2 linked regions of the Bombyx mori genome follow. The protein of the gene in region 1 interacts with the protein of each later gene in a pairwise test. Links are inferred from orthologs where the notes say so. Each region holds a gene or a part of one and is shown in the gene's direction. Other genes may lie near its edges.

Region 1 (3,760 bases):
TTCATTTATATCTGCTCATACAGAAAACACAACTTAGCAAATATATTCCACAGTTAATCTAAATAATTGCAAATAATGCTTTTGAAGATCGTTGACTTTTGATCATTAATTAAAATCATCTTCTCGTAGAATTTACAAAAGCTCATTTACAAAAATTTATATCAGTATTTTCATATATTACTAACTTACTAATTACAACTATTCAAAACGTAATAGTATAACTATAAGAACTAAACAACCTATTTTAAAACAAAATTGGCATCAATTTAGTTCTTATGAACTATTTCAATTATTAATTTATAAATTATAAACATATTTAAAAAAAATTAAGATCCCTTGTGAGTTCACATTCCTTGCTGAATCAGTTTCTCTTCTGAAACGGAGAAACAAAGTATCTTAAGTATGTAACAAATATTGAAAAAATACGACCATGAAAAATTTAGTGTTAATGTAATCATACTTACAAATTAATATATTACATAACACGTTCTGGTTCAAATATAGTGCATCAATCTTTTCATGTTTCAGACATTTTAGTGCTCCTTATAATTTTTCCATAAAATTTTGTCATTATCAAACCTTTGTCTACAAAAATAAAAACATTATTTTATATTGGGTAGAAGGATGAACGTGGTCACAGGCCACTTGGTGTAACTTGGTTATCAAACACCAGGAAACAAAATGTGAATGCCATCATTTAACTTTGGATGTGAGATCAATTGTGCTGTATTTTATTTAAACAGGAAAGCATGACTATCAATCAGTCATGCTTTCCTGTTTATTCCATTCCAAAAAACTAGTTCGGGCCCACTTGACAATAAGCATATAATACGCTGAGTTGCAAAACATAAATACTTCCACCCACTCGAGACAATTTTATTATCTGAGGTGTGTGTGTGATAGTACGAGACTTAACACCGACTGTTTTGATCAAACTTAACATATATGATAGCTAGGCAGCAGAAATAGGAAGGACCATTAGTTGGTGCTAATTCATTTAATTATATTATGAATAATAATTCTGTTAGCAAATAATATACCGGGAAAATAGTGTAAACTCACCGTTATCAAGGCATCCGAAATAGCATTTCATTTTCGATCTTCGAGGCATGCTGATTTTTAATAATAAACTTTCTGTAAGAAACGAAAATAGTTACACAGGCTTACGAAACGCTAACGAAGAAAAAAGTATTGGAACCAAGTTATGTCTAAAGAGAATTCAAAACAGAGTTTCTCAATGTCTAATCGTCTAATATTCTCATAAAGCTAAAAGATGCTCTAAATTAATACTACAACGTAAAATAACTCACACCAAGACAAAAAAAAAACGATTTAAAAAATTAAATCGTTACGACATTTTGAAAACGTTTTTTTTTTTTTTTGAGATTGTTTTACGGCCCTGGAATTTTGAAAACTTCAAAGCAGTGTTTCCACTTACGTTTTTTTAAACACATTTTACCCTAGTTTCTTTTGAATTTATCCCTAAAATTTCCTAGACAACTTTCATAAATCCTTTATATAGAAAGTATAAATAAAATACAGAAAATAAACCACAGCATATTATTTAATGTAGGTATATATAATATAAACGCCCCCAGAAGATCATAGATATATAGGATTAGAATTTTCAAGGAAGTCGACGCATTGCTTTTATATTCTTTTGCTGCACGCAACCTAACACTGTTCGGTTCTAAAATTGAGCAATTGTTTGCTGGCAAAGTTGGGAACTTTCTATGAAGCAAGCCGTTCAGGGTTTCATTAGAAAGCCTGTTTCTTTTGTCAGTTTTTACATTTGAGAACACTGAATTATCTTTCCACCTCAGTCTTTGAAGAAGGAACTGCTAGCAAAAGTGAAATGACAATTACAAGGTTTTCGTAAATGAAATTACCATGATAATCTTTCATGGTACATGAAGTACCTGTATATTACAATACAAGTAAGTTCTGGTGACATCAACGAAAATAGGTAAATAAAAGTTTGGCGGATTATACTTATTGGGATTCTGGGGAATCCCTAAGAAAAAAGCAGTGGCTTAATCTATAATTTACTTTACTAGAGGGTTACTGTTGAATCAAACCTTCTTTATAGTTTTTATACACAACTCTGTTTTATTCTTTTACTTGTCAACTCGACTTAATGTCATTCTCTCTCCATAAAATAAAATGTTCATTGTTTTACTTTAATTATCGTTTATTTTAAAATTCACAACAGTTACTAGTATAGGCTTTGCTTTTTACCCCGAACTATCCTAAATCCTGGTATTTTTTAAATTGTCTTTATCATCCAAAATATCAGCTATTTTTCCCTAAAAAAGGGAGAATTCCCTAAAAGTGGAAGCACTGCTTCAAAGTACGCTAACCTTTTTTATTGAGTCAGAACTCGTACCTGCCATCTAGTGAGTTTATTAGATCATTAAGGCCAAAACGTTTCAAAAATGACCTCGCCGGTTCCTAAAGATGACGCTAGTTGAATGTTCTTTTCCTTTGTATGGGAGTTGCACCCCCCTGGTTATGCATACATATTACTAAAATACACAGTTTCAAAAGTTTCATAGAATAGGAATGGATGGAAAAATGTTAAATTTGTAAAAAAAGTATGTTTTTTTGATAAATCAAAATTTACCAAATTTTAATAATTATTGTGTTTTGCCTTTGAAGAAATGGCTGGAAATTTTTGGCAAAGCTCACATCATCAACAATGGATACTCGATAAGCAAGAGCTAAGGCGCGATCGCCAGTTTGATTTGAATATTTTATCAGAAGAAGAATACCAAAAAGTATTTAATTTTTTTGCTAGTATAATTCAAGTTTTAGGCGAACAACTTAAACTTCGTCAGCAAGTAATCGCAACTGCAACAGTTTACTTTAAAAGATTTTATGCAAGGAACTCTTTGAAGTGTATTGATCCACTTCTTTTGGCACCAACATGCGTATTTCTTGCATCTAAAGTTGAAGAATTTGGTGTTATATCCAATTCCAGATTAATAACAACCTGCCAGACAGTTATAAAAAATAAGTTTAGTTATGCTTATGGACAACAAGAGTTCCCGTACAGGACAAATCACATTCTGGAGTGTGAATTTTATTTACTAGAAAATTTAGATTGTTGTTTAATTGTATACCAACCATATAGACCATTACTACTTTTTGTCCAAGACATAGGACAAGATGATCAACTTCTGACATACGCTTGGAGAATAGTAAACGATTCCTTGAGAACAGATGTTAGTTTGTTGTACCCACCCTATCAGGTATGATTTATGTAATGCAAATAGTCACATTTCATTTTTTATTCATAAAACTTTTCATTGCCATTATATTTTGAATTACAGATTGCAATTGGTGCCTTACAAATAGCATGTGTGATGCTTGGTAAAGACAATCTCAAACCTTGGTTTGCTGAGCTAAATGTTGACATGGATAAAGTGAGAAATATACTTGAATATATATTAAAATTAAAAAAAATATGGTTATTGTGTGGTTGTATTACAAAACTTCTGAAACTACTCATTTAAAAATTCAAATTTACAGATCCAAGAAATTGTGAGAGCTATCATTAACCTTTATGAGATGTGGAAAAGTTATGATGAAAAAAAAGAAATACAAGGGCTATTGTCCAAGATGCCCAAACCAAAGCCAGCTCCCCAGAGATAGCAAGACATATTTTGTAGTATGGATTTGTATAATGGATATATAATTTTTAATTGTAGACATGAAAAATTTGTTTTTAATTCCCTAGGAAAAGAAATTACTATTTTTG
Region 2 (3,760 bases), on another chromosome or scaffold:
GGCTTTTTAAAATTGCTTGTGGTTTTTTCTGGCTGTTCCGATTATAAAGCGAGAGTTGAAAATTCTTCAAGAAGATTCCCCAGTTCACGATGCACCATCTCTTTTGCAGACAACATATGCTCTGGTTGGCCAAAGCCATTCCTGAGTGTTGGATGCAGATATGTGGATATTTGGGTCACGGTCCTCATTTCGTACGCTAAAAGTCTACCAACCATATTGTGGTTATTGCACTGTAGTTTTTAAATGTAATGCACGGTAATTTGATTCTGAAACACGGTTTTTTTATATTTGTAGCTTGTATATTTGATCTGGTAGCACTGGTAGCACTGGTAGCACAACTGTGAATGTAAAGCGTAAAAAACCGGTATTCTTAAATAAAAACCGGTATTTATCGGTATGTATAAAAACCGGTTTTTCTCCGGTTTTCTTCGAACCGGTTTACATCCCTAACTTGGACTACATTTTGTAATTTTACGTTATATTTGGTATAGTCTTCTCGGCTGCAGAACATTAATATTGTGTATCAAATACTTCATATATTTCCGATCAAGATATTTTTCGCACAAAGGTAATGCGTTAAGTAACAATTTTTTTTACAAAAGAGTTCGGAAACATTTAATCGTAATGCAATTTTAGTTTTGAGTTATTTTGCTAAAATAATACGCAGGGGCTTTGTTCCGTCTGAAGTTAGCCAATGATTGGTTGCGTACGTTTAGAATAAACTCGCCACTCAGGTTTCACGGCTCACAAGATTCTAAAATATGTTAGTAAATTTCAAACAATAATTATAACTTAAGCAAATTCTCATAACTGCGTGCTATTACACCTTTTTTTACTTTAAAGTCAAGTTGGTCATGACTTAATATTACTAAATACAAATATTTGACAAAACAATAATGGTATGTACTGGCAATAATGGTATGTACTGGTTTTAGAACGCACAGTAGAATGAGTGAGATATGAAGTTTGAGCTGAAGTTGTGAGCAAAACGAATCTGTTCGCGAACAGTGTTTCGCAATATAACTTTTATAGCAAATTAGAATACAATCAAAAAAATGTTATCCAGCCTCAGGACTGGAGTACAGGGCTTGGTAGGTAAAATTTCACTCACAATTATACATAAACTTTGGATATAACAGGGTTATATAATTATTGTTTTGACGTTTGTGATACCTATTTTTCTACTGAAAAAGTGTCGTTTTTGATTTCAGTGGCGTATATCCTCTAGGTCAATTCAGACCACAGCATCAAGGCAACATGACAGTCTATTTGTCCACCGAGACACTCCTGAGGACAACCCGAGCATTCCCTTTGAGTTCTCGCAGGCCAATCAAAAGGTGTGCCTTCATTTGTTATTGCTGGATCTGAATTTGAATCTTCTGACAATTGAAAATAAAAATAAAAGACTATTTTTAGTATTCTAATAAATAGTTATAATTTTTTCTAAGTTAAATAGAATTAGATAAAAAAAGGTGTTCCAATTTTAAAAAATTCTAAAATTTTTTTTCTTGTTAATTATATTGTCTTAGTTCAAATAAAAACTTAACAAAACTTGAAGAAATCATTCAAATCTGAATTCAATAATATTGCCATCTTAATAATGCCATGTACCATTATTTCACAAAAGAATTTAACCATTGATATTGTGACTTGGAGACACATTTTCAGATAAGTGCTACACAATGCCATAGCTATAGGTACTGCTTAAGCACATAACGGATGGAACGTCTGACATCTGACAAAAATATTAAAAATAAAAATAAAATAGTATGTTTTTTTGAATTCAAATGTATCAATCAATATTAATTTTTGTTTTCCAGAGAGTAGAGGCTTTGTTGGCCATTTACCCTGAAGGTCACAAGCGAGGTGCCATGATTCCTTTACTGGATCTGGCACAACGACAAAGTGGAGGCTGGCTACCTATCTCAGCTATGCACAAGGTGGCTGAGATCTTAAATCTTCCAAAAATGAGAGTTTATGAAGTAGCTACATTTTACACAATGTTCATAAGGTAAATATTAGCTATTAAATGCTATATTGGAACGAAGTTCCTTACCTTGGGACGATGCGGAGGGGTAAGCTAACCAGGAAAAAACGTCCATAACATAAGATTTTTATTAGTAATGCACACAGTGTACGATGTAACTTTGTAAAAACGTATAAAAAATAATATATCTTTTTAACATTCATTGACCACGATCTCAGAGAGTTCGTTCGCGCAATACACTAACTCTTATGGAAACAGCCGTGAATGAAGTGTACCATAATAAGTTCGCACGTTACTGAATGACCGTGGGTTGTTGCGAAACCTCCAGTTTTATTTTCTTTATACCTCGAATAGAACTTAAAATAAATATTTTTATAATAAGGAACTTCGTTCTTATCCGGTGTCCCACGACACTACATATCTTTTTTATCTACTATTTAAATATTATATGTTCATAGACAATTATTTTTCTTTGCTATCCTCGATTTAATACTTTTCTTCAGTTCTATTCGTATGGTGTCCTCTGTTTAAGCATTAACTAATAGGCCATAACTAGTTTAGTGATTATTTTTTTCATTGCTTAGCTTACATGTAAACAAGCTCACGGTACACCTGGTGTTAAGTGCTTTCTGAAGCCCTTAAAGATTAACAGCGTCAATTTTGTGATGTCTATGGGTTCATTAACATGAGGGGGGCCATGGTCTCAGTTACCTGTCCAAGCAATAAAAAAATTATCGGAATTATTAACTATTACAGACGACCAATTGGTAAATACCATGTTCAAGTATGTACGACTACTCCTTGCTGGCTTCGAGGCTCTGATGCCATATTGAATGCAATTAAACAGGAAACAAACTGTGAAGTTGGAGGCAACAGTCCTTGTGGCAAGTTTTCTGTTTCAGAGGTTCGTACCAAATTGTCATTTCTTTTGAAAGCATCAGCATAGTGACTTATACAACAACATGACACATAATAATACTAAGGTTAACAATAATTTTACATTAGATTGTTAAATATGTTATAAATACTTGAAAGCAGTAGAGAGAATACACAGTCCATGCACCACAGTCATTGCATGCCCATCATCAGATGCATATTAAATTTGAAAGCTTTGAATAGAAGAATATATTTGAAATTTTATATTAAATATCAATCTAATAAAATCGTTTTCCTAAGGAAATATTGTTATTTTTCATTAAAAAATAACACTAATTTGGCTTGGATTCTAGACTAAGAAAGATAGGACAGAATTGACTATGCAGATATGTATTTATTACTTAAAAATTTTTTTTTTTTTTTTATTGCTTAGATGGATGGACTAGCTCACAGCCCATCTGGTGTTAAGTGGTTACTGGAGCCCATAGACATCTACAACGTAAATGCGCCACCCACCTCGAGATATAAGTTCTAAGGTCTCAGTATAGTTACAACGGCTACTCCACCCTTCGAACCGAAACGCATTACTGCTTCACGGCGGAAATAGGCGGGGTGGTGGTACCTACCCGTGCGGACTTCCAAGAGGTCCTACCACCAGTGATTACGCAAATTATACTTTTGCGGGTTTGGTTTTTATTACACGATGTTATTCCTTCACCGTGGAAGTCAATCGTGAACACCAAATGAGCCTACATTAATGGTGTATTTGATTTTTCGTTTTAGTTTACCTAACATAAAGTATGTCCATAATACAAAATTCTAAGTACTGACATTTGTTAGCTTGTTACCTATGTCTATAATTGGAAATATGATATAAATACAATTTTAAAAGATATT

Evidence for each region.
Region 2: the proteins of cyclin-C (region 1) and NADH-ubiquinone reductase interact in binary tests that used the Homo sapiens proteins (3 or more experiments, as listed by UniProt). The link is inferred for Bombyx mori from reciprocal best matches to the Homo sapiens genes CCNC and NDUFV2.

The regions. Positions count from the first base shown.
Region 1 is NC_085121.1:11,205,342-11,209,101, forward strand, and holds the start of cyclin-C, read left to right. Parts: upstream 1-1,372; 5' UTR 1,373-2,660; coding exon 2,661-3,251; intron 3,252-3,332; coding exon 3,333-3,425; intron 3,426-3,531; coding exon 3,532-3,654; 3' UTR 3,655-3,760. UniProt on the Homo sapiens protein: Component of the Mediator complex, a coactivator involved in regulated gene transcription of nearly all RNA polymerase II-dependent genes.
Region 2 is NC_085117.1:7,841,614-7,845,373, reverse strand, and holds the start of NADH-ubiquinone reductase, read left to right. Parts: upstream 1-971; 5' UTR 972-1,055; coding exon 1,056-1,091; intron 1,092-1,211; coding exon 1,212-1,337; intron 1,338-1,820; coding exon 1,821-2,011; intron 2,012-2,743; coding exon 2,744-2,891; intron 2,892-3,760.